7 linked regions of the Coturnix japonica genome follow. The protein of the gene in region 5 purifies or fractionates together with the protein of the main gene of each other region. This does not show direct contact. Links are inferred from orthologs where the notes say so. Each region holds a gene or a part of one and is shown on either strand. Other genes may lie near its edges. The genes, in order: POLR2D, FAM168A, AMOTL1, LDLRAD4, WWP2, AMOT and RPAP2.

Region 1 (4,051 bases), on a different chromosome or scaffold from region 5:
GAGAAATAATGCGCGCTTTCACCAAGTTTAGCAAGCAGAAAAAAAGACATTTTCCTAATTTTAAGACGTTATTAGTAATAAATTTAACTGAGAAATCACCACCATCGAAATGACCCACCGTGCGCTTACACAGCCCGCCCAGCTCCCAGGGTAGGTGAGCGCCTGCCGCACGTGGCTGTACCTGCCCGCAAAGCCCCGCACCCACCTCCGAGCAGTGCCAGGCCGGCACCCCGCAGGCCCAAGGAGGAACAGCACGAACTGGGAGCGGGACAGACGCTCTACTCAGGCCCCAGCAGCCGCGCACGGCGCAGCGCTGCCCCACCACAACACGGCGCTCACAGCCCACATCCCTCACCCCGCGGACAAGGCCGGGCCCGAAGCGCCGCGATCCCGCCCCGCTCCAACCTGAGCTCGGCCTGAGCTCGGCCTCCCTCCAGGGCCAAGGCCTAAAAATGGCGGAGCGAACCGCGCTCTCCGAGCCCCACTCCCGCCTCACACCGCACCCAGCCGAGCTCACCGTCCAGCCGGCGTCTCCCACCGCGCCCTCGCGGCCCCGCCGCTCGGCTCGGCTCGGCTCTTCGGCCCCGGAAGCCGCCGACGCCGCCTCACGATCCCCCGCCGCGGCCGGCCGCCATCTTCCTGCCCCCACCAGCGCCAGGGGCGGCGCATGCGCACCACGATAAGACGCTGAGCGGCAGGGAGGCCGCTCCACAGCCTGCGCATGCGCAATCGGAAGCCGCGCAGCCCTCAGAGCGTCCACCTTGTCCCAGTACAATCAGTGTATTGCAGAGATCTTCATAAATATGACAGAACACAGAAGCTTAATTAGAAATATCTTTTAATATCTTAGAAACATCTTTTTTAATTTACGCTAAGGGGAATAATACAAAACAACTGAGCGTATCAGGGCAGCTTTTGGTGCTCAGCTTCAGTACTGGAAGCTGCGTTTGGTCTGAATATCGTCAAGAATCTGCTGTAATTCCTCATCTTCAAACCGGCCCTCGAGGCTGCAAGGTAAGAACAAGGTGGGTACATTAAAGCTCGTAGGAACAGCCTCCCCTGTTCCCCTCTGAATTCATTTCACACCCATGCAGAGCCTCCTGTTTATGTGACAGAACTCCAACCTTCCCACAGCTCAGTGTGGAATGATTTCAAGTCATTGTACCAAAAGGTCAACCCGGGTGCAGGCCTCATGCTCATAAGCCAGTCCAGATTTGCTATGAAGAATGTGAGCAAAATACCTCAAGTTGTACCAATGGAGGTTTCAATTAGAAAGAATTTCTTCACAGAAGGGGTGGTGAGGTGTTGGAACAGGCTGAGCAGGGAAGTGCTGGTTGCCTTTTGTGGAGGTATTCAACAAACGTTTGTACAACTTAGAAGATTCTATGAAATCTTAGCATACAAGGGGAAAGCTGTACTTCAGATGAGTGTCTCATTCCTCCTCTATCTCAGGGTACGAGGTAACAAATGATGAGACGACACTGGAAGATCTCCCTGCCCCATCTGCACATTGTCCACCCAGCGGTTCAGAGGGACACTGCTGTTTGCTCCAACAACAACCAACAAACGCAGCTGGCTGGGCTGACAGCCCCAGTCTAAGCCACTGCCCAGAGATGTGCTGGAATCCCCACTTCTGGAGACATCCAAGGCCAGGCTCTGAGCAACCTGACCCAGCTGTGGGTGTCCCTGTTCACTGCAGGGGAGTTGGAGCAAATGGCCTTTAATGGTTCCTTCCAACTCCACGATTCCATCACTCTTAATCCAGTAAATGTTATCTAAAGTGCGTTAGGGATATTTAGATTGCTTCACTGTCAGATCAATGGGTAAGTGAAGAAAAACTGAGATGGAAGGTTTTCCCATCAGCAGAGCTGGATTATGGAGGAGGCATCTGTCCATGGGCAGCTTTACATCACAGGGCAGTACACCACACTCCTTTTAGGTATATAAATGCTCACCTGGGAATCAAAGCTTTGGCTTCCTCAGCAGTCTCAGGGCATAAATTGGCTAAACACGCCAGTTCAAACTTATGGAGCTTCTTCTGGAGCAGCAAGCTGTGAGGAAAGCCAACAACAAGACAGATAAGCAAAGCAGCATCAAGGCAAGCAGACAGCACACAACTCTGCTTTTTGACACTGCATCCAAGTTTATGAAGGAAGAAACATTACAACAGTGGATAGGTAAAAAGACAGACACAGCTGTGGGAAGCCCAGGAAACGTCAGTAAATCTCAGCTCCATCGAACAAGGCTGATGTTACGTATCACAGCCCAAAGCCTCGCACCCACCTGCGGACGCTGGCGATGGTCTCCCTGTTCTTGAAGCGGCTGAACCGCGCTGTGTAATTCAGGGTTTTCATGAAGACTTCGGACAGCTCCTGCTCATCCTCCGCGCTCTCGTTCTGCTGCTTGCGATGCTCCAGAAGCATATGGACCTCTGAGTTCAGCAGGGTTTCTGCCGTTTCGAATTCTACGTTGGAACAAGCAAACGTCAGTGTTTAAAACACGGATCCAAACAACAGCACGAGGTGTCGCCGCGCACCTTTGGGGAAGACGAGCTGCGAGGCGTCCTCCTCCACATCCGCAGTGCGCGGGTCGCTGCCGCCCGCCGCCATTGCTCACCCGGAACTGGAAGACATGGCGCCCGGAAGCGCAGCGCTGTGAGTGCCCGGCGCCCAGCAGAGGGAGCGGCGCCTCAGGTGGCTCCAGCTGCGCTGCACGGCGCTGTGAGCACCCAGCGCCTCCATCTTGATGCCTCTGAGGGAACGCAGCGAGTGATGGCTCCAGGAAACAACCCACAGCAGCATTACTTCTGGTGCAGTGTGGTAAATACATGGAGGTGTGTGTGGGAGGAGCATGGATGGCAATAGCAGAACACAATAGAAGTAAGGTTCCCTTCTTTGGCCTACTCAGGAATAATCCATAGACAGCTTAAAGCTTCAGGCAGGCTGGAAATGAGTGGGTTCGTCCTGGCACTGCTAGCAAAGTAGTGTTTGTAGTAGTACTTTCCCTTGGGAACACACATGAAAGTGCCCAACCAGCTTAAGACTTACAGTAATCATCTTAGGCTGCACAATGTCACCCCATGCCCTTAAAGAAATGCAGAAATAAATGGCTGGAGGATTCACTGTGAGGCCACTCCTGCTCTCCTAACGCACATCTGTGCCGGCTGCTGTGCTTCCTGCACCCTGCAGGTGGGTGAGCTCCACCAGGAGCTGCAGGATCAGATCTGAGCTCCTTAATGTTTGTTAACTCCAGACGAGCGTGGCAGAGAAGCGAACTAAAAACGAATTAGCTGAGTGGTACAAACAGAAAGACACTCAGGAAGATAGTGTGGAAATAGAACATCTAGTGAATGAGGCTATTTCAATTACGTTTACAAGAAAACAAGGAAATCATAGAATCATAGGCTGGCTTGGGTTGGAATGGACCTCAAGGATCATAAAGCTCCAACCCCTCCCCCCCCCACCACCACAGGCAGGGCCACCAACCTCCATATCTAATACTAGATGAGGCTGTCCAGGGCCACATCCACATGCCAGATTGATGAGAGAAGCCTTTTAAAATCATTTGGAATCCCAACAGCTTCTCACATACCCTTTCACCTCAGAACATCCTGATCTTCAAGCAGTAGGTAGCTTGCAGTCTTGGTTACAAATTTAACATCTGTTGTTCCCCAGTGATCTCTCCTACTTAAGTACATGAAAACTGAAAGGATTCGGGGAAAGCCACATACCTACAAGAGCATAAAGGTACAGCCAAGGAGGCGGTGGTGGTGGCTAACAGCTCCCTGTCACTGCTGTGCTTGGTTTCAGTCTCAGGTTTTAGACATGAGCTTCTGTTGCATAGTCCAGGGCAGAAAGTGTTGGTTGGGACATCAGTGGTTTATTAAATAGATACTCTACAGCAATTCCTTCCTTCCCTCTGAAAACAGACCCACTAGCAACTTGAGTGCAAAAAAACAGCTATTACACACACACACACACACACACACAAACAACAAAAACAAAACCCCTTTAGCTAAACATCTGTATAGTAAAACATAGGAACATGTAAT
Region 2 (4,661 bases), on a different chromosome or scaffold from region 5:
TTATATGAGAATGGAACTCTGTCGATGCTTGTCTTCATGTCTGAATAGATTGTTTGCCATGTTCTCATTAATCCTTCTTTTAGTGCTCGTAACAGAATGTTATTCTTGGATTTTTTTTCCCCCAATACACAATAAGGTCGAACTGAGGCTGCTGTAGTTGTAAAGAGATCTTTTCCAATGATTCCAAGACTTTGAAGGCTCAAGGCCGTCGGTGGTGTAGTAAATTATTTCAATGAACATTGCTCTTAGATAATTAACTTGCTTTCTTTTGACTGCAAAGTTGTTTGTGGCTTAATAACCTTAAGGTGTCTTAGAAAGTAGAGGCTGCTCAAGAGAGAATATCAGATTCGCAATACCGTGGTGTTGTAACACTGATGGAAACAGGAGGTGAATGGCTTTAACCATCTACTTCTGTGCCTTTGAATATTTTTTCCTGTCTAGGATTAGAACTGTTTGATACAAGGATGCAGCCCAGCACATGGAGCTGGTGCTGGAGATGGACCTGGAGGTGTTCAGGGGACATTTGGACGTTGTATTAAGGGACCTGGTTTAGTGAGAACTACTGGTGATGTGTGGATGGTTGGACCCGATGATCTTGGAGGTCTTTTCCAACCTTTGGTGAACCTATGATTCTGTGCAGTGCTGGGAGAAGGATGGTGCTTTAAGGCTGAAAGAACATGGGGGTAGGAGCACCTGGGGACTGCATAGAGGAGTGTTCATTAAGTAATCTCAGTCAACTGAGTTTTACTCATTGGAGCTGAAGAACCTTCTTGGTTTTGCAAAGTTGGGATGCCCAGAGGTTTAAACACAAGGCTGTGGAATGCAGAATGGTTCTTTGGCCTTTTGGCTAAGACCAATGGAGTGTTGAGTAGACCAAGGGAATAGGACTTAAAAACATCGAGTGCTTGAGTGCCTGGCTCCATCTTCATCCAGTAGGATTTTACCTCCTGATGCTTTTCTGTTCCTTCCAAATTCACAGTCCTGGTGAAAGTCCCATTGGACGACCACACGATTCGATCAGTCGGGAAGGTTTTTGAGGAAGAAAAATAGCTCAGGATGAAAGTTGCACAGTGCAACCCAACTAAATAAGTCTTTTCCTCGGCTGAGAAGGCTGTGTTTGTACTCTACAGCATGTCAGGAACTCGGTGAAGGTTTTCATCTTCATTTGATAAGTCATGGAGTGTGTTTTTAAATGAGTTGCGCCAGCACAGCATTGCCCTAACGCTCTACAGTCTGCCGAGGTGAGGTTTTTAAACAACGTGTTCTAATTAATTCTTAATCCATTTCATAACCCGTGTTCCCAGCTCCTACCTCTGGAGTCTTGATTTTTATAGAGGAACAAAAGCAATGGATAGAAAAGGACAGAAATGGATGGAAGTACGACAGAAGAATCAGGGAGATCATCCTAACGGTGAAAAGAAGCAAACTTAATATTGGTCATAGCAGAGGAGGATAGAAATAAAATGAAGAATACTCTGCCTGCTGCCAAGTTAGTGAAGATAGTAGGTAAAGGTTTTTCTTACTAAGCAGCCCTAGTAATCTTATAAGGAAATGTTAAAGGGTTTAAACTTTTTGGCACCAAAAACACAATGGGAGTGAGTGGAGGACTCAGGGAGTAAGCTGCAGGAATCCTTTGTTGGGTTTCTTTGCTCAACTGGATAGAGGTAAATTGCTTTAAAAGGTAGAGCATGTAATCTCGTAATTAGGAAATTAGAAGTTAATGGGAAACTTGAGCAAAATGTGTTAATGAATTTATTCAGCAAGCTGCTGCAACTTTGGCCCTCTGAAGAAGGCTGTAGGAAGCTGAGAGTGGTGAGCAGGAGATGCAAGAGCCCTGACCCTAAACTGAGGTGGCTTTCCACTTGTACAAATCTGGTAGACGAGCAAATAAACTGCATTATAAGGCAGTGACACAGTTGCCCAGTGAGTGGGGTGGTCACCATCTCTGGGGGTGTTCAGAACCATGGGGATGTGGCACTGAGGGATGTGGGCAGTGGGTATGGTGGGCTGGGTTGGGGTTGGCCTTGGGGATCTTGGAGGTCTTTTCCAACCTGAATGATTCTGTGATTCTAAATCTAAGTGGACTGGAGAAGGTGTAGCAGCATCCAGAAACTTTAGAAGCCAAAACAAAGCAAAACCCCTCAGCTCCAGCAACCCAAGACTGGCTTTTGTGTCCATCCTTGGCTCCTCATATGCCATTTTCTCTTCAAAATATGTTTTCCTTGTCTCAATGTCTAATAAGTGTCATACAGAATTCATACAGAAGTTTGATTTTTGCTAGTACTCATTTGTGTTATCTTCAGTTCTGACCATTTCTGAGGGTTTTTTGAAAGAGAGAAGAGAGCAGAGATGCTTTGTGGCTGTAGGTAATGGACAGGATGACCCAAGTGATGTGGTGAACAGGAGGTGGGCACAACACTTCTGTCTGCTTGTTTACAGCTGGAAAATAGTGGAAGGATGAAGTTGCTGATAATTCCCTGCCCTGAAGGTCACTGCAGTGCTGTCCTGCTGAACCAAGCTGGTTATATGGAAGGAAAGCACCGCTCGTGCATTCAGCACGAGGAATTTATGGGTTTCTGTGGCCATGGAGGTGTAAAGATGTAAAAATAATAAATTAAAACAAAAAAAATGCAAAACTTGGCAAATTTAGCTACCAAGGTGGATCTGCTGAGTGAAGCACTGAGGGCGAAGGCATCCAGATTTAGTGTAAAACGGATGGAAAGAGGGTTGGTCCCATAGGTGGGCACACTCAAGGATGCTGGGGGGGGTGCAGCTGTGAGGAAGGGGTTGCACTCAGGTTGCTGGTACCCACATTGCTTTTCTTGTTTCTTTCTCACTACGAAAGGAATAATTTCATTTGACAAAATGTTACCGAAGCTTTTGGAACTGAAGCTGCAGCCCACGTCTTCTTGATAAATGGCTGTGTGTATTCCTGGAAGGAAGTTAAAACGGGGCTGTGTTATATTTGGTACCTCCCGAAGCACTGAGGCTACTCGGAGTACAAAATGTGCTCCAAGAGAGACTCATTTGCCAGTGCTGAGCGTGATGTGATGAGATTTGTCAAGTCGTCCTTTCTGCTGGAGCTCACTTTGCCTTTCCTCTCTCTCTCCTGGAGACGGTTTGTTGCATTCTGTAGTTATGTCATTGAACTGGGAGGCTGTAAAGGAAGCCAGAAACCCCAAAAATGTGAGGAATCTCCAAGCAACACACACACTGTGTTATAAGGCAGAGAGAGAGAGAGGTTAACTGCGTACACATAGAATTGATAAGGCTGGGAAAGGCTTCCAAGACCCCCAGCCCACCCCACCATGCCCATTGCCCATGTCCCTCAGCCCCACACACTCTGAACACTCCAAGTTCCTGTGTTTTCTCCTTTTTGGAAGCTGAGAAGATCTTGGTTTTGGTTTGTCTGCTCCTGATGCTGACTGATATGCAGTAGATAGATATATGATATATCTATCTATATATATAGATATATCTATCTATATATATATATCTATCTATCTATCTATCTATCTATCTATCTATCTATCTATCTATCTATCTATNTATATATCTATATATCTATATATCTATATATCTATATATCTATCTATAATAGATATATGCAGTTCTCCGGCAGGATATAGGAAAGCATTGAGTTTCAGTTCATTCAGCCTTAGTGCAAGATGCACCACGTGAGTATCCCACCCAAAGCCACCGAGCGTAGCAGATGCCTACAGGAAGATTCTCAGTCTTGATTCAAGAGAGGATGCAAATGCTGAATAATCTGTTGGAAATCCCGATGGAAAAATGAATTCTTTGAGTTTTTAGAGGTTAAACAAATGGACATTTACTTTAAGGGAGCTGCAGTAGATGCACCCACCCACCAGTTGACAGCAGTGGGTCCGATTCATACACACATGCCTTGCTGCTCTTGCTGCAGTGCAAATGACGACGTCTCCACGATGGGACAAGCCGTGCTTTCTGTGCATTGGGTTTGCCAGCAGAGCCTCACTGATGGTTCTCTTTCTGTTGTTCCTTTAGAGCTGTGGAATGCTGTGACCAGTCCCAGTGCCCCGCAGCCCAAGGCACGTCGCCGTCCAGATCATCTCCATCCAAAGGAAGTTTGTTCACAAAAGGTACTGACTCACATTTGCGTGGTGTACTCAAATGGTTACGTTTGAATGGGAATACTGCATTGATTTATGGAGTTATTAAGTCTGAGGTAGTGAGGACTGGGGTAGAATGCACAGTAGGTGTGTGCTGCTCTTGTAAAGAGCTGTGAGAGTTGGCTTTTTAGTGGTTGTTAGTCTTCCTATTGTCTTAATAAACACAATTGTTTTGTATCCAAAAGAAGGTGAAAGGCATCAGCTGGGTCAAATCAGAGGGTTGGCAAGGGGACAGTCCTTGTATGCAGCTCTGTCATCGGCTCATAGATGGTTTTCTATCAGCTTCTGTTGCTCCTTTGTGTAAAGAAAATCATGGAATCATAGAATGATGGAATGGCCTGGGTTGCAAAGGACCTCAATGCTCATCCAGCTCCAGCCCCCTGCTATGTGCAGGGTCACCAGCCAGCAGACCAGGCTGCCCAGAGCCACATCCAGCCTGGAAAGCATCACTGTGTGTCTGCTCTGTAGGTGAATTTTCCCCTGGGTATTCATGCTCTGCTTTTACTGCAG
Region 3 (3,903 bases), on a different chromosome or scaffold from region 5:
TTCCTAGGCAAGGAGGAGGTGCTGTTCTGAGTTCAGTTTTTGAGGTCATTTTTGGCAACTTCCCTTCTCTATCCTGCTGTTTCCAATTCTCAAAGGAGTTCCTCAGCAGTACTTGTGTTTGTTTTCTTGGCATTCAAAAGTAGTTAAAAAGCAAAACTTTCTCCTGAGCTCTGCTATTTCCCCATATTTCACCAGTTACTGCACATGCTGTGGGTCAAATTTTATACAATCTGGATGGCAGAGGGGAAGAAATGCCCTTGACTCATTCTGTGACAACTGGCCATTTCCACTAACACTGTTCCTGCCATAAAAGCTTAACAATGATTGTGAAGCTTGAGGGAGAGAGAAGATTCTCAGGCTGTTTTATTCCATACCTGATCTGCAGAACACATCTCTCACCACCAGAACACAGAGAGTCTGCCAGCTCCCTGGGCCTGTGTCTGAGCCAACAAGACGAATGGCTTAGATTGGAAAGGCCCTTAAAGGTCATCTAGTTCTAATGATACAAACCCATTTAGCTGGCTGCACAATAGCCAAACGTCCATCCATATGCTCCTCCACTCCTGAAGCTACAGTAAATTCATACTGCTGTATTTGCATTATCACAGTGCACAGGAGTCTTGCTATAATAGTCATTTTGCAGACTTGCAATAAAAACTTCTCTTACATGCAAGAATGCAGAAGCTATTAGACTATACAAATGACAGGGGGTTGTAACGCTTGGGTCAAAGGAACCTGCCTTTTGCCCATGCTGGGGATGAGAAGCTGACCTTCATCTCAGTAAATATTATTTATAAATGGCATCTGGTTAGTTCACGCATAGGGAAATCCCAGACGTAACCATGATGGGTTCATAAGGAAGAGTGGCAACTCACCAGCTTTTTCTTTAGCACTGACTGCTTCAGCTGTCAGAGGAGAAATGTCATGCCTGCCAGCAAACAACTGGTGGTCCTGATAAAGAAAGCCAGTGTCCTCCAGTATCTGGCCTGGGCTGGTGGGCTTGTAGCATGCAGCTGAGGAGCCTGCAAGGAAGAAAAGTAGGATGTCAGTCAATAAGTTATTTGAATGATAAAATATAAAGCCCTGAGTGTCTGAGAGGCCCTGCTGGGGTCAGGCTGAGGAACAAGCAGGAGGCAATGAACCATCAGTGCCATCCCATGCCCCAGCCCAGGAACACAGCCAGGCTGACCCAGCTTGGTTTACAAGAACCAGCAGATTTAAAGGTTGCCAACAGAGGGTGTGGAATCTCCTTCCTGGAGACCTCCCAATGCCACCTGGGCATGGCCCTGGGCGCCCTGTGAAGCCCACAGACATGGGGAGAAGCTTGCACAAGCAGAGAAGCACATATTTTTAGCACATTATTGCTGATTCTACCCCCTATATGAAGCAGGGCAGCAGGATTCTGCCCATCCCGATTACAGGCACAGAGATGCAGAAACTATTTTCTTCTGTGCCCAGAGGAGAGGAAACAGGCGCTTGTGCAAAATGTTAATGAATTCATCACTCCACCATTCATGTTACACACAGATCTGTATGGCAGTTATCTATATTTAGAGAGCAAGGAGGAGAAGATTGCTCACTTGAGGAGATATAAGCTAAACATGTTTGTCAGAATTAGCACGGAAGGCTGTTCTAGCATTTGTGCTGATGAAGACACAAGGAAAACATCAGAACCCCACTTTGCAACACGACTGCTGTATTAACATCCCATACACCCTTCAATGCTCCTCCACACACACACAGCCCTGCCCTTGGACTGGGAATTCCACCTGAAACAAAGAGTTGTGAGCCTGGGCTTGCTTTACAAATAAAAGCTGGATTGGGATGAAACACACAGGGAAGAAAAACAGTCTCGGGCATTACAAGCAGCCTAAACACCCACCAGCTAAACGTCATCACTAGGCAGCAAAAGCTAAAAGAAAAACCGCTACTAAAATTTTGCTTTCATTCATCCGCCTGATGTATTTTGAGTCATTAGACACCCTCAGGTTGCATCTTCAAGTGCTGTATCTACAGCAAAGGGCACATGAGGAGATGCAAAGCAAAACGGCTTTGCTGCAAATCACAGCAAAAGACAAGGAGTGAGATGAGATGGGCTGCACCCATGGAACGCCACCTGCATCTGGGCATGTCCTGAGCACCAGAGCAGCTCAGCTAAGCCAGAAGGGTTCCAAAGAAAGGCAACCTGCCTGGTGTGATGGTTACCCAAACTCTGATAGCCAAAGGGAGCAAAGAAAAGGCTTAGAGAAGTGGTCACTTGAGAAGAAACAAGCAGAGCCACATTCAGTGCTATCACTTTGCTGAGGAAGGTCTGAAGCCACCAGAGAAAAAAAATCCTGGACTTACAGGATTTAGAACCTGACCAGAATTTGCTGCTTGCTTAGATCCCTTGGTTAGCACTGGCTCCTTCAGAGGAGGCCTTGGCACAGCTGCCCATAGAGCTGTGGTGCCCCCCATCCCTGGAGGGGCTCAAGGCCAGGTTGGATGGTCCCTGGGCAGCCTGAGCTGGTGGGGGGCAACCAGCCCATGGCAGGGGTTGGGGATGAGTGGGCTTCAAGGTTCAACCCAAGCCCTCCTAGGATTTCTGCCTCAATACCCATTCTCCCAGACCTCAATGGTTGCACAACACCCATTCATCTGTTTCCTCTGTTAAAGATAAGCACATAATTATGCCATATCATCCTCATACAGCTACGCAATTCAAGATTCGCAACCATTTAAATGAATCATTCACTAAGATTAATGCAGCAAGGACCCACAGATGCTTAAATATTTCCTGTTTCTGATGTGGTTTTGGGCTGGTTTTGAAAGGGATCAAACCCAAAACCTCATAGGAAGCATACTGCTGTGACATTACAGGAAAGCCACGTCTTCAGAGCAATACCAGCACTTCCAGGAAGCTGATTTCCTCCTCAAAAGCTATTTGGAGTAGGCAGTGTTCTTCCAGCCAACCTACTATGATTTACATCTTTACTAAAACACCCCCAAAATGCCCATTTTGCATGGCCTGCTGCTATTTTGATGCAGCGCTGGGAGTTGTTTTCCATATGGCTCCTCCACCGTCATTCACCACTCCCAAAATCCTCCACCCTGCCAGATAGAAGCAGTGGGTGTCCTAAAGAAAATCCCCTCCCAAGCTGTATCGCAGCTCAAAAAGAGACTGGAGTATTTCAAGCTCCTTCCAAAGCAGCCATCTGAAATTAAGAGGGAAATAAAGCGGCTTTGCACTTTCCCATCAACTCCTCCAGGGTCTGTAAGGAGGATCCAAAAATGACAGAACAAAAATGACATCGTTTCAAAGCCCACATCTGTCCTTCTGTCTCTCAGCCAAGCCAGCAAGAAATATAAATACCTCATTCCACCTTTGGAATATTTCCTCTGACCTGTTGCTGCGTAAATCATAGTTTGAATTGGAAGGGATCCTCAAAGGCCACCAAGTCAACACCCCCCGCAGTCAACGGGCACCTACAGCTCAATCAGGTGCTCAGGGCTCCATCCAGCCCAACCTTGGGTGCTTCTACAGATGGAGCACTCATCACTTAGGTCAGTGAGAAAAGTATTGATGAAGGAAATCAACACAAGGACAGTCGAACCACCACTGGTGCTATCCCAAGACTGGGCTATGATTTCCCAATGGGCTACAACCATGTCCCAGACATGAGCTGCCCCACTCAGTTCAGTGCAGTCCCCCAGTCCCTCTACAGCTAAGGAACAGGAACCTTTGCTCATGGCACTGTGCTGTTCCCTTGTCCTCAAAGAGCTCTGGGAGACTAGATGGGTACCTATCACTTCCCTCTCCAACAAGGCTGTCACCCAAGACAGCACTTAACTATGGGGGAAAACTCTCACAGGAGGGTGAGGCTGGGTGTTAGGGAAAGGCTCTGCCCCAGAGGGTGGTGGGCA
Region 4 (3,903 bases), on a different chromosome or scaffold from region 5:
ATAGTTTATTAAAAAAAAATAATATATTCCCCTTCCCCCCGCCCCCCAAAACACTGCTCATAGACAAACTGAATGGAAGTTTGTATTTCTTTCCATCTGCTTTGCATGCAATTCCCCTGAAAGGAATCAGAAACAAACAACTGGTTTGCACGTTTGGTTTTACTAAGTTGTACCACGTGAAATGTAACAACACTGTGCACCGGAGCACTGGGCTCTTCCTCCGCCGCCCTGCTTCAATCTCTTGTCTTCAGTCCAAATGCACCTTGGAGAGTGACTTAGACCAGGTTCCCTGGTTTCCGGTCTTGGCCTTTGCTGGGGACAATTGTGCTCTCTGAATTGTTCTGCTGAAACTGAAGTCTGCTCCCCCTCTGCGAGGAAGGAGGAGCGTTGCTGTGCTGGTGATGGAAAAACGAGGAGCCTGGGTAGTGCCCCATGACCTCGCTGTACGTCGGGGGTGGTCCTTCCATCCTTCCATTACTGCTATAGTTGGTTGCACTTATGCCCGAATTGCTGCTCGGTGGGCAGGGGCCCCCATTGTACATGGAAATGTCTATCAAGTCGCTATCAAAAATGGTTCGGTTGGGCGGTGCCCTGACAGATTCCCGGTTGAGCTCCATCTGCTGCTCTGGGTCCCGGAGCTGCAGGGTGCACGGGCCTTGGTATGGCGGCGGCTCTTCCCCATCCGAGAGGGAAATGGTCGGAGGAAGGTCAATCTCATGCTGCATGTATGGGTATGTGGGCTGGAAGCGACTGAAACGGTCCCGCTGCATAAAAGATGGGGCTGTAAACCTGTCCCTGGACCTTGGAGCATACATAATCTGCAATGGGAAGAGAGAGAAATGTGACTCCAGAGCTGAGCAAAGCACTGAGGGCTCTCCATGCTGATGAAGAACTAATAAACAGAAAATGCTTCTCTCTGTCATCTATCTCAGAGGTTCAATCCCGCAGATGCTGTGCGTGCCTGCTCCTACAGGCGGGCATGGAAAAGAAGAGGTAGGAGTTCAGGAAGGATCTAACACAAGACATTGCAGAACAGCTTCAAGAAAGACGATCCTTCTAATATTAAAACACGAATAGCTAAGATAAATGAATTCTGTTTCTGTAGATAGGAAACACTCCAAATTATTTTCCTCTCTAATCTTGACAATTAATTAGTTCTCCAAGACATGCCAATACTGAACTTCAGCTGCAGCCTGAGCCTACCCCTCCTGTTCCAAGTTAACCTAACACCCAGCACTAACAAAGAATTCAGATGGACACTTTGGTGTATCTTGTGAAGGTCCAGCATATCTCACGCCTTCACCATCAGAGTACAGCAGGTGTCCTCCTCCTCCTCAGCTCTCAGCCAGGAAGAGTTTGAGATAGTCTGAGAGGAGCTATTGCTTCTCACTTCATCCATTTCAAATCTCGACAGACACACCAACTTCTTAGATCTACCTCTATCAAACTGCTCTTTTAATTTCTTAGTCCCCACAGGGTCCTTAGTCCTTGACCCACACAAACACAGTGTCAGCTGCACAGGAGAGCTGGGCCTCTCAGGACAGCGCACCCGTAAGTTACCACACAGGCCACGTATATGTGCTGGCCAGAGATTTGGAAACACTGGTGAGAGGGTGTGTGTGTACATTCAGGAAAAATCAAAGGGAGAAAAGCAACAGGTCTCCCACATTCCAATGAAAAACTACTGAGCCTCTGCACGTCACTTACCTGAGAATGTCTACTAAGTTACAAGGAGCTGCTGACGGAGATGAGACATCAGGAAGTTAGAATGTTCTTTTAATGAAAATGTCTTAGACATTTAAAGAACGGGAGTTAAGACAGGTTTAGATGTCCATATGAATGTGGTTCTTGATCTCAGCTCCCAAGGCCTGATTTACTAAATAGATGCATGTCTTAAGAGAAGGCAAATATACATAATGTCAAAGATGGTAAGAAATGCCACTGTACCTCTGAAGCACCCTGGCGTGAAACCGAGCTTTCCGAAGGCCACAAGCACCCTTCCTGCAAGGCAGAAGGGAACAACACATGAGAAAAATCATGACAATCCTGCCTCAGTACCACAGTGAACAATCCGTTTCTAGCTGTTGGTTAACCACACCTAAGGGGAGTCCCACCCCTTGCTTTCTAGAAGTAGAACGAACAGCAGCTCTGCATCCAAGCAGGTGAAGCTCAGCGCACTGTGAACATGCAGAGATGCCAGCCACAGCAGCTGGCCTCACAAACCGCAGGGATACAGCAGGCCAGTCCCAGCCACGTGTTGGGATGTGGCTGCCATGAGGTCTAATGAAGCTTGTCCTGCTGCCCAGTGTCCTAATTACACAAGGAGTCAAAACCGTACACAACAAAATCTGATGACACCTGTCACGTGCCATGGAGAGGACTAAACTCAGGAATACCCTGGTCAACACCGTCAAGTGCTCGATTCCCACCATAAAACAGCAATGAAACTGGTTTCAGCCACCAGTTCTGCTCTTCAGGCACTTCCCGGCCACCTTTCCAGGCCAAAGTGTTTTCTCTCTCACCCCCCAGCAGCCTGTTTTAGCACTGTACCCAGGGCCAGAACAAAAGGGTGAAGAAAAAGTTGTCAATAAGGGCAAAACAGTTTCAGGTGTACCGTTCTTTTCCTTCTCAATTTTTTAGAGCAGCAATATGTACTGCAATTTATCTATTTTACTGGAAAACTTGAAAGCTGAAAAGGACAAACTAGAGTAGTTACAGAGGACAGAATTTCAACCTTACTAGAGAAAAAAAATCAAAACAGTACACGGTTATGAGCATTTTCTTAGTGCTAAGTAAACTTGCAAGATTTCATAGGCATCAGAAATTCCAGGAAGGAAAATGCACACTGCAAATCCTACTGTACAGCTTTTTCTCACCAGAGCATCTTTGAACATATTTCAGATGTAAAAATAGACCTAACTAGATGTTCAGCATGGCACTCAGACACCAAAACCGTCTGTGATCTTGTCAGGAGAGTCCACCACAGAGGAAAGCTGTTCTGGGAGGAATCTCCCATAGGATTCAGCTGTTAAGAGAAAGGGTTTGAATAACAAAGCTTGTCAGTCACTTCTCTTCTGTAGCTGGAGAGAGTAGATAAAGAAGGCTGACAATTTAAGCTATTTACAATTTCCTTTTGCAAGTATCCCCACTCACTAACACCTGATATGAGGAAAGAATCTTAGGTAGACTCATGTACTACAGTGGCTACATAAGATTTTGCTGACTACAGAAATGCTGTGTAACTGCAGTAGTTCAAGTTACACCAGTATCCACCTTCCTTTCTACCCCTCCATAACCCAGATACCCACGGTTTAAAATATCTGAGGGCGTATCTGTACAATTACAGGCAATCAAGTTATCAGCTGGTGGCCAAGCAGGCTCCAAGCCTACTGCAAGTCAGCGACGTCTAGCAGTCAATGCTAAAATGCCCAGTTAACAACCCAAGGGCTGCCATTCAACTGCAAACTCCCAAGTGTGCAGCTTTATGCTTCGTGCCACTTTCTCTCCTTTAAAGCATTCAGGTTCAGAAGAGAGAAGAAAAGCCAAAACCCAGCCCAGAAAGGAATTCAATACAACACCAACACTCATGTTACTTAAAAGTCACCTCAGAACGTGTTGCCAGTGTGAAAGTGGAAGTGATGACCTATTACCCACCTAAGGCAGGAGACTGAGAAGAACCAAAGGAGTTAGCACAGTGTGGGGCAAAGCTCTCCACACAGACACACAGTAGGACCTGCATACTGCACCCTGGCACACAGAACCAAGGATGAGCCTTGGAATCAGCAGCATCCGACAGAATGTACTTCTAATGCTGATGTCTTAATCCTGGTACAGGAGAAGGCACTGCAGATGCTGCAGGGACCTGCAGAAAGCAATCAGGGTGCTGGGATGCCAAAACCAAGA
Region 5 (3,903 bases):
TGCAGAGCTGTCACTGCTCCCAGTTATGGACTGAACACCGAGGGGTCTGTGTTGGAGCATTCCCTTGGTCAGCAGTTCTCTCGCCTTGATGTTTGTGCACAGTGAGGTGTCCTGCTGTTGAACATTCCCCTTCCCCTCACCAGACATCCCTGTGAGAAGCTGGACTCTGGCTGTGGTGGTTTCAGTGCTGACTTTCCCAGCTGTTCCTTCCTGGCATCATAGGCAGAAGCTTGCAGCTTCCCCACTTGTCTCTGCACTGGGCTCGTGGCTGCTCTGAGTGTTTCCTTGGGGGTCTCCTGGTGCAGGAGGCAGCGGTGTGTGATCATCTCTGGGCATGCAGGCAAGAGCTGCACTGGGAGTTGTCTCCTGTGGACTCTGACACTGGGGGTGGGATGCCAGGACCTGCGTGCTGGTTCGGAGAGCTGAGGTTCGGAGCAGGTATGTGCTGCTGTGTCCCAGCAAGTGGGCAGATGTCTGTGCCTGCGGAGCAGCAGCATGGAGTCAGGGCAAACAGGCTCTTACCCAGGCCCAGCTGTGCCTCACCTCCTGTTTCTTTCCCTGCAGGACACACCGCCTCACTGCTGGGGCCTCCAGGCAGGGTGTGAGCAACGGGGAGCAAAGTCCCAACACACGGAGCCGCCACCGGCAGCCGCCCAAGAGCCCGACAGCCACCAGCATGGCCAATGGCACTGCCAGCAGCACTGGTGAGCACAGCGGGGATCTGCTGCTGCTGCGGGCATGGGGTGGGCAGAGCTGGGGGTGCGGTCTGAGGGGGAAAGGAGTTTTCTACTGTGATTGAGGGTCCTGTAGTGCTGAGGGGTTTCTTCCCCATAAAGGAACTGTTGGTTTCACTTTGATAAGCTGGGCAGCTCCTTAAGGCTCACTGGTGGGACCTGTTCTGTTTCTCTAATGATTCCTTGGGCTCCTTTCTGTGAGAGCACAAACCCACCCCTCAGAAGGACACTCAGTCTCATGCCAGCAGTACTTTCAGGAAGAGTTTTCCTTGTCTTTTCATGGGCTTGTCCACTGGACCCGAGTGTGTGACTACAAAGCCATAACCAGCTCACCAGCTTTTCTCTGCTGCTGTGCTGGAGCTGCCCCGGGACAGTGGTAGGACAGTGCCTGGCACTGTGGGCTTTGCCGGGGTCCCATGTCCCTCATCCTGGGCAAGTACATGTTGCGGTGCTATAGGGTGGGAGGTGGCAGCAGGGTGGCATCACTACCACAGGCATTTCCTACTCCCCTGCACTGTTATTTTGCAGCAGTTCTGTCCTTTCTTTTGCTCTTGTCAGAGACCCGAAGGGAAAGCAGCGTGCTTTGTTTCAGACAGAATGAAATGCTGGGTTCAAGACAGGAGAACTTTTTTCTTTCCCATTACTTTGGAAAAAGTTGGAGCACTTAATTTCTATTTTGCCAAAATCCATTCTGGGAGGGAGGTGGGGGTGCAGAGGGCTGCATTGGGACGCAGCAGTTCAGCCTGCAGTCCCAGCTCGCCCCATTGCTGCCCAGCCCCTGCCCCGCTGTGACGCACCCGCAGGCACGGTGCTGTTCCTGGGCTCTGCTCGCTTCACAACGCGTTGTGCTGGCCCGGTCCCAGCCTTCCCAGTGTCTTTATGGCCGTGCCGTCCTTGTTGCTGTTCATCGTTCAGCAGTGTGCCAGCTGGGGCGTTACACCTCGGGATGGGAGGTGCTGCCGGGGGTGGTGCTGGGCGCTCTGTCACGCTCAGTTTGCCTCCAGAAGCCTTCCTCTTCCTCCCAGCTCCGTGTGTTCTTTTGACAATAGCTTGTGCAGTTTGGAAGCCAACTGCTGCAAGAACTTCCCAGTTACATTTGTAGCCAATAGCTGTAATTTCACCTGAGAACAAAAGGAAGTTGCTGTGTGGCATGCATTCTCCATGGTGTAGCTTAGCCCCAGCCCCACTCCTCATGGAGTCCTTATCAGTGGACTTTGAATCATCTTTTCCCATGTTCTGTCCAGGACTGGGATCAATGCAATTGCAGTGCAGTCACCCGAGTCACATTCCCTCAGAACTGTTTGAAGCTCCTCAGTCTTTGCAAGACTTGCCAGCAGTGAACACCTGACTCCTGTGTGATGTTTACTACAAAACCTGGCCTTGCAGCTTTTTGCATTTCTGAATTCTAACTCGTGGAGCTCTACCTGCATCCCTCTGTTCTGTTTTGAATTCTTTAATCTGTGGCTGTGGCAAAAGTTATCCTCTGCTGTGCTGCTGAGCTCTGACAAGTTTCATTCTTTTGGTCTGCATTTTCCTCCGGATCAGTTTTTGTTGTGGTTTTCCCTTGCTCAGTCCCTTCCTCTGTCCACAAATGCAGTGGAACCAGCACCACTCAGCTCCCAGCAGTGCCTGTTGTGGGGATGCTGCAAGGCAGCCTTGCCCCTGAGCTCCTCGCTTCTGGCATCTACATCAGGCCTGCAACACATCTGCAGGCAGCAGAAGGGATGCTGAGCACAAATGCAATTGTCTGCTTTTTTCTCAAGAGGAAAGATGGAGGCAGGGGCTCTGTGGACCTGGCCTGGAACCGTGTGCTCCCTGTCGCCACCACCACCACCGTGGTTGTGAGGCTGCTCCAGGGTGGTGGAACAGCCAGTGCTGCTCTTGGTGCTAATATCTCTCCCCTCTGCCTTCCCAGTGAACGGTGATGTGGTGGGAACTGTGGATGTGGAAGAAGAAAGGCCGGCTGCGGGGACTGCCGTGCAGGCTGCAGACACATCGAGCACAGCTGATGGTTCTGTTGCTGCATCCACCCTTTCTGCCCTGCCTGGCTCCACAGAAGCCGAGGAGGCAGCACCCAGCACCCCGCAGGCACGGACAGCAGTGCAGGCTCAGGACTCTCTGCCCCCTGGGTAAGCAGTTCTCGCTGCTCTTGTTCCCTGATGGAGCAGCATGGCTGAGTGCCCTGGGGGTACTTGAGGAGGGAGGCACAGCCCTGGAGGCAGTGAGAGAGCTGCTGGGACACTGCTTTGTGCTGCAAGAGGGGATGGGTGTTGGAAGGCTGGGGCCATGCAGCAGGGCTCAACAGCGATGACCTTCCTGCTCAGCAGAGCTCATGGCATGGGAAGCCCTGCAAGGGGCCGTGAGCACAGCCTGGGAAGGGAGCCTAGAGCAGAGAGGGGTGCTGCTGGGAGTGCAGAAGCATCCAAGAAGACCTGCTGTCTCTGTCTGGTTCTGCTGAATGGGGATCTGTGTCTCCCATCCCTGACACAGCTTGTCTCCTGTTCAGCCAGAGCAGGGTCTGTCTGTGTTGGACTGCTCTCTCCTCCTTTGGGCCAGGACTCTGATCTGTATCCATTGTGGGGCCCTGGGGAAATGAACAGTGAATCACATCTTTGCTATTAGTGGCCTTCCAAGGCTGGTGCCTGGAGCAGTGAAGTCCTCAGAGATCCTGTGGCTGTTCAAAGGTTCGGTGGGAAGATCATGAGAGAGAGAGAGTGTGGATCTGCAGGGAGCTCCCTCTAAAAGGGAGGCATGGATATCAAAGAGTGGAATATGACAGAAATGGACATTGTGGGGAGCTGAGAGGGATCCTCCCACAGCTTCTATGTCTAGTGCTACAGCGGATTGAACAGGGATGTGAGCAGCCCCATGGTGCATCAGTGTTTGGAGCCGGGTAGGGCCTCTCCTGGGTCCTGGGGTCATTACTGGGAGAGAGAGAGAGGGTCGTCCTTGGGATGGTGAAGCCCAGTCCTGTGCTGTGCCAGCCCTGTGGTGCTGAGGGAATGCCTGGGGCTTGGGTTCCTCTCTGGCTGCTTTGTGTCCTGCTGGGAAGGAGTGGGACTGTGGCCTGGGGCAAGCCTGAGCCCCATCCTCCACCTTTCCTACACCTTTGCTCTGGAGTGTGAATGCAGAGTTGGAGGATGGGGGAGGGTCTTGCAGTGCCTCATAT
Region 6 (4,548 bases), on a different chromosome or scaffold from region 5:
GCGCATATGTACTTTTCCAGGAATCCTCTCCCCTCGTCTCTCCCATAAGTGGCACCAAGTTTTTCTAAGAACGTTATCACATGCAAAGGCAAAGCCTTGTCCAAGCAGCATAGGTTTAGTTTTCTCCCTACATCCTTCTAGACCTGCTCTTCCAAGGTTTTCTGTCAGCCATCTGCCCCATACACTGTTTCTAATGTTATACTTTTATATACTTCCTTTGATCCTTCCCCCTTTTTTCTGCTCTCATCCCCCCACCCTGCAGCTCCCAGTGCTTGTGTACCCCACTGCCTTACTGCTGTGGGTGTCCTCTTGCCACATGGAGCCCATGTCCAGTATCACCAGTGCTTCCCAGAGCTCCAGCCATCCCTTACTATTCTGAGCTCCATGTATATAAAACAATTACAGTTAACACAAAACATCTGGGTTTTACAAACAAAGAAATTACAGCACAGGTAGATCAAAATCAGACCTCTCCTAAGCCCAAAGGGACTCAGTTAATGTAACCTGCAGTCAGCAGCCTCTGAGTTTGAAAATTAAACCAACATCTCGTGGTTGAGACTAAACCCCTGCACAAGACAATCCAAAAGGAGTCTGGCCATTTTAGGTTTGTTCGTAGCTGCTGGTGTATTCCCAGCTTTCAAGGAAATTACCCAACACCAAACACAGGTGCGGTTTCTTTAGTGGTAAGAAAGCTGACATAGCTCTTCAGATTCTGCCATTTTCACCTACAAGATGGTCTGCTCTCACTCTGAACTAAGTTGTAGGATACAACAGTGTAATGCAAGAAGCTGTTATGGATGCACTTCAAATGCCTTATGACGACCCAGAAAACATCAGGCTAAAGTAGCAGTATTGATGGTAGAACGTATGATGACTTATGGAGAAGGTGAACTAGAAAGTCAAACTCAGAAACTTCTCTGCTAATGAGAACATTGCAATTAGGTCATCGCTAAACACTGTGTAACTAGGAATCAGAGCACAAATATTGCCACAGAATAATTAATACGTGACAGCAAGTTCTTGGAATGAGAACAGGGATTTCTCCCACATAGCCCTACTATTGAATTATACAGATAAACAGCAGCCCTGAGATAGTCAGCTTCCAAGGAGGCACGCAGGTAAAACACAGAGATCCAGTTTAGTATGAGCCTAAACTCCCAGACATGAAAGTTCACACCCAACTTTAATGAAAGATAGTGCTCAGAGTGAGTTCTGGGGTCAGAATTCTATTTAGGTCACGTATGAACTTGATCCAGGACACAACTTACTTTAACTATCTTCAGGACTCGAGTTTGAGCAGTGTTTCTAATTTCCAGTAATTATTTCTCTTTTGCTAAAAAAAAAAACCCCTACATTAGTTCCATTTTGCTCAGTTCAGACTGTGGGTTATGGTAGCTTGCTAAACACCAGACCTTTATTCAAACCAGAATGCTTTTTGTCACAGACACCCTGAATCTCTCCCTCTCTACAATCCTACACAGGCACCCAGCAGTACCTGCTGCTGGGGCACACAGGTCAGGAGGGCAAAGAGCTGCAGGTTAATGGGATGCTGCTCTGATCAGGGAGGTTAGGTTACAAGGCCGTGCCTTTGAAGACCGGCTTCTTCAGTGTGGCCCTTTGGTTTACAACTGGGATTTCTTTTAATTAGATTGTATTCCTAATTATTTATGACCTATATTATCTGCAGAAGCTGCCCAAAGCCAAAAGATATCAGCTTTAATGAGGATAATTGGAATAGGTTTTTTTCCCTTCTTTTGTAAAGCACCTTGGGCCTTACTGATTAGAGGTGCTAGGACAGGATTAGATGTTAAATGAAAAACTATTATTAAAACGTGGAATAAGAACGAGGACTGAATTAGAATGGAATTTTCTATTTTCTGTTGCATGAGGGATGAGCAGAAGATCATTTATTAGAGGTGACACAGAAACTTAACCTGAAAATCAAATGGGCATCTTCTTGATGCTCCTCGTGGTAAAGGACTCCAGGCAAGGATGCCATGGGCATGAGCCTGGGACCAGATGTTTTAAGAAGTAAAAACAGCCCCCCAAGTACCTGTGCCATGGGAACACCAGGAGGTGTCCTGGCACATAGGGGTGGTTTCGCTGGGTTCTGGCTACCTACAACATCAAGCAAAAGCAACAGCCGCCAGGTTCCTGCGTGACTGCAGATTCAGCCTTCCGTCCCTCTGCTCTACCAAAAAGATATCTTGGAATTGGCACAGATGGAACTTGTGGCTCTGCTCCCACCATATGGTGAGTCTCGCTGAGAATATTTATAGGCCAACCTGAATCAGCCTGCCTATAAAGGCCCAGTCTTTTTTACCTGGGGCAGCGCAGGGATGGTTGAACCCAGACCTCAGGGGGCTGCTGGGGGATCATTCTCTCTCTATGGGGCAGGGACACAGATACAGAGCTCCCAACACTTCTGGGATCATCACTCATAGATCAACATTTTCTTCTCTCAGGAACCAAAGTAGGAGGATTTGGAGTCCTTTCTGCTTAATTTGGGGTTCGGGCAGAGGTGGATCAGCAGGAATGGGAGCAGTGGGCCAGGCACGCACTGAGGCCACAGGGCTCCTGTGTGGGACTACAGGAGCAAAGTGTCCCCTGGCGCTACATGGACCCAAAAACAGACATGGCAAGGGCCAGCACAGCTCTGCTCTCCCCTTCACACACGCAAACCCCTCTGACCGCAGAGCAGGTACTCACGGCAAACCCTCATAGCCTTCTCGAAGCTTTCCCAGGAGTCTTCCTCAGGACTCGCGGGGGCCTGGGGCTGAGCCCCGGCTCTGCCTCCGTCCCCGGGAGGGGCCCGAGACGGGGCAGCGCGGCCACAGTACCCTCAGGCCGAGCGCGGGGCGGCGGGCAGCCCCTGAGGGAGGGATGGAGGGCAGGAGGGCCGCGGTCGTGAGGCGGGAGCAGACTCCTCGCTCCCCCTTTCCCCCAGCGGCCTCTCCACCGGCGGAGCCCCGCGCCGCTCCCCTGCACCTGCCCGAGCCCGGCATCCCGGCGGGCAGGGCGGCCGCGGGCCCTCTCAGAGGCGCGGAGAACCGGCCTCACCGCAGCGGCCCGCGCCTTCCATCGGTCCCTCCCTTCCCGCTCCTTACCCGGCGGGCGCCTGCCCCGTCGGCCGCCCGCTCATCCATCCTGCCGCTTTCCCCGCCGAGGTGACAAAGCCGGCATGGCAACGGGAGGCGCCGCGCGGCTCTGGGAGGCGCCTTGCCCAGGTTGGGTGGATAACTTTCACCAGGCGGCGGCGGCGCCCGGCATCCCCCGCTGGGCCGGGCCCTGCAGTGGCTGCCGGGAGGCGTAGTCCGCCCGCCCCTCCTCAGCGCCCCGGGCTGCGTGCTGGGCTCTGTCGGTGGCGGCACCTCAGCGAGCGGAGGGTCCGAGCGGGACTTGGTGGGGATGAAAGCTCAGAAGTCCTTCTCAAAAGGCCGAGCGAGTTGTTGTTACCGCTGTGAGTGAGGTACGCCGAGGAGAGCCCGCAGGGAGAACAAAAGGACCCGGAGCTCACCCTTACCTCCAGGTGAGTGGGGTTTCTGAGCTCACGAAATGGCTGCTGCCCACTGGAGGCCCCTCACAGAGTCACAGAACTGCAGGGCTCGGAAGGGACCTCGGGGTTCCATGGAGTCCAACCCCCTGGTCAAACAGGAGCACGCTCCCATCTACTCGACTCTTACACTTGAGATCCCCTCTCAGCCTTCTCTTATCCAGGCTGAACAGCCCTACGTCTCTCAGCCTCTCCTTGTACAGGAGATGTTCCAGGCCCCTCATCTTTGTGGCCTTCTGCCACATGCTCTCTTGAAATAGATAGTTACAGATAGACAAATAGTTACTAAAACTAAACTATAGGCAAAGGTTAAACATCTGGAAATTGTTGTTAATCAGCTGCTGGTCATCAAGCGTACAGCTCCTGCAGACTCATGCAAGGACATTTCATCCCCTTTGCTTTAATATCTGAAAAACTAAGCATGTCTAGTTCTGCTGTTGGTTTGTTCTCAGCACACAGACCTAAGAGTGGCAATAATTAGAATAAGGCATGGAAACAAACAAACAAACCATTCTAAGACATACATAGCACGAATCCAAAAGTCAGGTGCAAAAATATTTTTGAGTGCATACATCTGTGTTCATGGTGCATCACAACTCCTTGCTATATTTGATTACAGACAGCTTTGTCTTGTTGCTTTTGATGAAGAGGAGGAGGACAAAGAGGAGGTAGTGGCCACACACCGACCTTTCACTGTAAATACCAAAGGAGATATGGAGGGTAAGTCTTGTTTTTGCTCCATGGGAAGCCAGCAACACAGGATTCCAAGAGCGACACTAAAACAAGCCTTGCTCTAACAAGGCCTTGTTTGCCAGAGCCAGACAAGAACAGACTGTTATAAAACACGGTGGAACGTTTGTTATTGTAGTAGTAGATTTCCAAAATCCATAGTCTTTTTGTGGCTGACAAGCTCATTCTTTTCTTTGCCTCGTTACTGCAGCTGTGGGAGGTCTGCACCCCTGCCTGGAAAACATGAGCAGCAGCTAGAAAGCAAT
Region 7 (4,630 bases), on a different chromosome or scaffold from region 5:
AATCTACCCCTGATATGTAGTACTGTATCTAGTTTGAGTACTGTATCCAGTTCTGAGTACTGGATTCATTTCCGGGCTCACCGGAACAAAAAAGACAGAGTCCAGTGGAGGGACACAAAGATGACAAAGGGCCTGGAGCATCTCCCATATGAGGAAAGGCTGAGTAAACTGGGTCTATTCAGCCCTGAGTAAAGAAGACTCAGAGGTGATCTTATTAACATCTATAAATATCTTAAGTGTGGGAGTCAAAGGGACACAGCCAACCTCTTTTCAGCAGTGTGTGTGGACAGGACAAGGGGAAATGGCAATAAACTGAAGCACACAGGAAGCTCTGCATCAAAACACAACAGAACGTCTTCATGGTAAGGGTGACGGAGCACTGGAACAGGCTGCCCAGGGAGGTTGTGGAGTCTCCTTCTCTGGAGATATTCAAGACTACTCCTGGACACCTACCTGTGCAGCCTGCTGTAGGGGGCCTGCTTTGCAAGGGGGCTGGACTTGATGACCTCTGGAGGTCCCTTCCCACCCCTACAGTTCTGTGATTCTGTGATATGTTCACTTTGACATGTTCTGCTGAGAGAAACAAGAACACTTCTTTCTCCAAGAGGGAAAACTTGGGAAAACAGTCAGGGAGAAGTGAATGAAACATGGAGACTAAGCCCAGATAGCAGCAAGGAGATCTTCTAACAAGTATCTTGTGTTCTGAAGCCATAGAGTGAACCTTTAATTGCACTTATGACTTTTATGAGAAGTACTTACGCATCTTTGTATTATGGCTTGAAGTTCATCAACTGCCATTATTGCTTGAGTTTGCTCTTCAGGCATTGAAAACTATTAGGAATTAAAAGGTACAGTATTAAAACACATTAAGTAAATGCAGAAATTTAAAAATAAATTAAAAAAAATCATGTTATTAAGACACCAAATAGAGAAATGAGAACAGTCTTTTAGCTACTGCATGGCCACATACAGTGGGAGCTGTATGTGCCTTCATATGTGCCTTCAGGTGCCTGCTGCCTTGTACCAACAGTGGTTTAGACCAGTCAAGACTACATATGCAACATTATTCACTTCCTTGCAGTGCTGGCCGATCAAGCATTCCATTTTCTTCAGGTGCAACAATTAAAAACTTCAGGTTTGGGGATTCCTGTTTGTTTAACAGCTTTGAGTACTTTCTTCTGCCTAAGGCTCGTTATACAGCCACTGTCCCTAACCCACCACCAATTTCCATACGCTGTCAGCTCTGCTGTTTTCCCCCCCAGCCCTCGGACACGTGACGGCACACACGGCGCTGCTCAGCTCCCCACGCTGTCAGGCCTTACGACTTAACCCACTTTCTAATTACATCTTTCCAGCGGTTCCAGCGGCAAACGTACAGCACCCAAATAAGCACAAACTTACTGCTGCTTATACTCAGAGCCCTCCCTCCTCTATTAAAGTAGCTTTCCCACGTGGGGTGCCACATACACGCCAGCACGAGGGGCTGCTAAGGTCAGCCTTTAACCCAGGGCTGAATTACAAACAAAACCCGCAAGAAGCGCTCCCCGCTCACAGCACCCACCGTAACCGCTCACACCGCGCTGCCGCCGCTCCTCGCTCCCGGCCCGGGCCCGGCCGACACGGCTCCGCCTCCGGTGAGAGGTCAGAGGGAGGGAGGCGGCAGCGCCATGATGGCGGATGGGAAGACGCCGTGCAGTGCGAAGGGGAGGCCCGGCCGGCGGCGGGCAGGTGAGTTCCGCGCCGCGCTCCGCCCGCTCCGCAGGCCGGTACAGTGAGTTAATGCAACTCCTGGCCGTGCCGGGCGGTAGCACGGCAGCACAGCAGCACGGCAGCACGGCCTGGGCTGGCGGGGCACGAGGGTACCGCGAGTTCGGGGCGGCTGCGGCAACACAGCGGCTGCACGGGGCAGGGCTCCCCGCAGGAGGTCGGATGAGGGCAGGCCGTGCTCACCCCGCAGCGGTACAAAACCGTACCTGACACTGCCCAGCGGTTATTGCCTTGCTGAAGGCATAGCCAACAACAGCGAGGCTCTGTGCATTCCAATGTGCATTCCAATGTGCTTGCAGAAGTCTTCGTGTTTTTTAAAAGTTCCAATGTTTTCATTGCTAAAGGAAGAACAGACACTTATATGCTTCCATGTTTTCGATTTCTAGGACATAAACGGTCGGCTGCCCCTAAAAATGAAGATGCTGATCAGAGGTATCATTTCTAGCAAACAACACACTGCGATCACTTTGCTTTGCTTCACTCTGGAACTGTGCTCTTTTCCTCCTGTGTTTTTGGCTTTGCCAGAGATGACTGACCTCCAGAGACACCAGCATCCACCTCCAGCAGGTTTTTGGTGTGATGCCGTGGGTCTTTTAAACAAACATCAACTTAGCATTGCTTAGAATAGGCATAGCCATCCTGTTTGGATAGAGCTGCACATTACATCTGAACAGGGCTGAAAGCTGCATCCCCTTTAAGCAGCATAGAACAACACAGTACAGGTGCCTCTGCCAGCTGCTCCCACGTGTCAGACAGCCGCCCATCAGGGAGAGATGCCCAGAGGAATCCAGATTTGCAGTGGTGACACAGATGGCAGGAGAACAACTTTCCAGGGGGAGGTGGAGCTACAGGAGGTATCTCTGTTCCATCACCTGGCTGATGCACAGTTCAATTGGCCTGTCTGACAGAGTGAGAATAAAGTTCAGCAAAGGCTACAATCTACATATAGAGAGAGAATATATCAAAATATGCCTCACTGCAGATACATGGAAGGTACAGGAAAATACCAATGGGTGCATATACTGGAATAATTCTGTTGTGGTTTGACAATAAAAGTCAATACTTTTCCTGACTGGGGAGAAAATAAAGCAAAGAATCTTTTTGTTTGTCTTTAGTGGTTATTACAAAATTTATAGCCCACTTATTGCTTTGTTTGGCCAACTTGATGAGATGCAGAAAATATAAACTACTGTGTTTCAGAAAAGAAGATATCCAGGTGGGGAATTGCTTATGGGAGCTGCTTTCTGTTTCATTCAACATCTCTTACGTTACAGGAAAGCAGCCCTGGAGGCTTCTACTAGAAAAAAGATTGAACTTGAGAGAAAGGCACTGCGTATTGTTGAGCAGCTCCTGGAAGAGGACATTACTGAAGAGTTCCTTCTGAATTCTGTACGTGTCACAAGTTTTTGTGTTATTTTGTATCTTAGTGTCCAGCTGTTTTTTAAAAGTCCTTAGAACAATTTGCTGCAGTTCAGAGCAGACAAGTTCATCCTCTCTTGTCAGCTCTGTTGATGGCTGCCTTACTTTCAAGGGTTCTCCAGTGAAAATATGCTCCAGTTTTGTAGGATGAGATATAATTGTGAATCTCTCTCTATTAGCATACTTTATGCCTCTGGGAAGCACAAAAAGTTAAGTCCATATCATGCCCTCTGTGAGTTTAGCCAATGGTGCTCTTTACCCCACAGTTCAAGTGCTGTATATTAAACTTACAGTTATAAAATGGAAAGTATGTATTTGCTTATTTACATCTGAGTGTGAAAAGTAACAGATCTTCCAGTATTCTTGAACTATTTTCTTGTAATTGCAGGGAAAATGTATTACTCCATCTCACTATAAGGACGTTGTTGATGAACGGTCTATCATCAAACTATGTGGTTACCCCGTATGTCAAAATAAACTGGAAAATGTAAGTTGCTTTTTTTGTTTGTTTTTGAGTAATGTTATCATAAGAACCTAATCACATTTTTTATTCTCTTGCTTATTTTTTTCATTTTAAACTTAGAATGTTAAAATATAGATTAAAATGCTGTCAGGTATCATTTCAGTATAATGCTTCTGAAGTTAAAAGTTAAATCTGATTGATTGACAACTGTTGCTGTATAAGGGAATCAATTACAATCTATTTGGACAGTAATAAAGATAAATAAGGTGTGGTGTCATAGCTATCCTTTGTGCATGCAGAAACATTTTAATCTGTTCCTTCTGTACCTTTGTAAGAAGGGCTGATATGAAAGAGGTAAAACACATGGGTATTACTATGTGACTGCAAATACATCCCCTCCAAAAACAGACCTTACTTGTGTCAAAATCAGTCATGCCTAAATACAACGTATTAGAGCTTAAGTGGAACTATGAGTTCAGTTACATAACCATAATACCAGGTGTGATACAACCAGTTATCTGGGAAAAATAAATCATGAAAGGAAAAATAGGTACCGTTTTGGATTTCACATGTCCCAACAGAACTTGGAAACTATTACCTTTGATGTAAGCTCCCCTCTGGATTTGTCTGAATAGTGGCAGAGTCACACATGAACAGGGTTTCTTCTGTGACAGCTCCATTGGTTCACTCCCAGCAGAGGCTTTCTTGTAAACCTGAAGTTGCCTACTAAGATGTGAATGAATAATGAGAAATTGCAGTTCTAATGTCTAAGGAGATACAATACCAAGAGAGCTGCTGTAGTACGTAATTCAGTTAAAACTGAATACATTACTTATACTGAAAACGTGAATTAAAAGGAAAGTTTTATATAACATTGTGACAATCTTGCTGATGAAAGCATGTCATTTTAGGTGCCAAAACAGAAGTACAGGATTTCAACAAAAACTAACAGAGTTTACGATATTACTGAAAGAAAGGTAT

The links.
Region 1: the proteins of WWP2 (region 5) and POLR2D purify together in Homo sapiens (affinity purification with mass spectrometry; 3 studies listed by BioGRID and IntAct, with this or other methods). This does not show direct contact. The link is inferred for Coturnix japonica from reciprocal best matches to the Homo sapiens genes WWP2 and POLR2D.
Region 2: the proteins of WWP2 (region 5) and FAM168A purify together in Homo sapiens (affinity purification with mass spectrometry; 3 studies listed by BioGRID and IntAct, counting the BioPlex papers as one, with this or other methods). This does not show direct contact. The link is inferred for Coturnix japonica from reciprocal best matches to the Homo sapiens genes WWP2 and FAM168A.
Region 3: the proteins of WWP2 (region 5) and AMOTL1 purify together in Homo sapiens (affinity purification with mass spectrometry; 3 studies listed by BioGRID and IntAct, counting the BioPlex papers as one, with this or other methods). This does not show direct contact. The link is inferred for Coturnix japonica from reciprocal best matches to the Homo sapiens genes WWP2 and AMOTL1.
Region 4: the proteins of WWP2 (region 5) and LDLRAD4 purify together in Homo sapiens (affinity purification with mass spectrometry; 3 studies listed by BioGRID and IntAct, counting the BioPlex papers as one, with this or other methods). This does not show direct contact. The link is inferred for Coturnix japonica from reciprocal best matches to the Homo sapiens genes WWP2 and LDLRAD4.
Region 6: the proteins of WWP2 (region 5) and AMOT purify together in Homo sapiens (affinity purification with mass spectrometry; 3 studies listed by BioGRID and IntAct, counting the BioPlex papers as one, with this or other methods). This does not show direct contact. The link is inferred for Coturnix japonica from reciprocal best matches to the Homo sapiens genes WWP2 and AMOT.
Region 7: the proteins of WWP2 (region 5) and RPAP2 purify together in Homo sapiens (affinity purification with mass spectrometry; 3 studies listed by BioGRID and IntAct, with this or other methods). This does not show direct contact. The link is inferred for Coturnix japonica from reciprocal best matches to the Homo sapiens genes WWP2 and RPAP2.

The regions. Positions count from the first base shown.
Region 1 is NC_029524.1:1,664,451-1,668,501, reverse strand, and holds POLR2D (DNA-directed RNA polymerase II subunit RPB4), read right to left. Parts: upstream 2,665-4,051; 5' UTR 2,610-2,664; coding exon 2,537-2,609; intron 2,465-2,536; coding exon 2,284-2,464; intron 2,052-2,283; coding exon 1,956-2,051; intron 1,008-1,955; coding exon 929-1,007; 3' UTR 822-928; downstream 1-821. UniProt on the Homo sapiens protein: Core component of RNA polymerase II (Pol II), a DNA-dependent RNA polymerase which synthesizes mRNA precursors and many functional non-coding RNAs using the four ribonucleoside triphosphates as substrates.
Region 2 is NC_029516.1:175,055,545-175,060,205, reverse strand, and holds the start of FAM168A (protein FAM168A), read left to right. Parts: upstream 1-1,484; 5' UTR 1,485-1,506; intron 1,507-4,026; 5' UTR 4,027-4,121; intron 4,122-4,661.
Region 3 is NC_029516.1:165,959,610-165,963,512, forward strand, and holds part of AMOTL1 (angiomotin-like protein 1), read right to left. Parts: intron 1,026-3,903; coding exon of another isoform or gene 1,023-1,025; coding exon 876-1,022; intron 1-875. UniProt on the Homo sapiens protein: Inhibits the Wnt/beta-catenin signaling pathway, probably by recruiting CTNNB1 to recycling endosomes and hence preventing its translocation to the nucleus.
Region 4 is NC_029517.1:87,055,264-87,059,166, forward strand, and holds part of LDLRAD4 (low-density lipoprotein receptor class A domain-containing protein 4), read right to left. Parts: intron 2,002-3,903; coding exon 1,948-2,001; intron 819-1,947; coding exon 276-818; 3' UTR 1-275. UniProt on the Homo sapiens protein: Functions as a negative regulator of TGF-beta signaling and thereby probably plays a role in cell proliferation, differentiation, apoptosis, motility, extracellular matrix production and immunosuppression.
Region 5 is NC_029526.1:16,996,597-17,000,499, forward strand, and holds part of WWP2 (NEDD4-like E3 ubiquitin-protein ligase WWP2), read left to right. Parts: intron 1-393; exon of another isoform or gene 394-438; intron 439-564; coding exon 565-704; intron 705-2,649; coding exon 2,650-2,863; intron 2,864-3,903. UniProt on the Homo sapiens protein: E3 ubiquitin-protein ligase which accepts ubiquitin from an E2 ubiquitin-conjugating enzyme in the form of a thioester and then directly transfers the ubiquitin to targeted substrates.
Region 6 is NC_029519.1:12,244,772-12,249,319, reverse strand, and holds the start of AMOT (angiomotin), read right to left. Parts: upstream 2,912-4,548; 5' UTR 2,723-2,911; coding exon 2,710-2,722; intron 1,334-2,709; exon of another isoform or gene 1,269-1,333; intron 1-1,268.
Region 7 is NC_029523.1:12,310,419-12,315,048, reverse strand, and holds the start of RPAP2 (putative RNA polymerase II subunit B1 CTD phosphatase RPAP2), read left to right. Parts: upstream 1-1,626; 5' UTR 1,627-1,667; coding exon 1,668-1,728; intron 1,729-2,153; coding exon 2,154-2,199; intron 2,200-3,041; coding exon 3,042-3,156; intron 3,157-3,574; coding exon 3,575-3,673; intron 3,674-4,560; coding exon 4,561-4,626; intron 4,627-4,630. Other genes in the region: GLMN (glomulin), read right to left, coding at 760-825.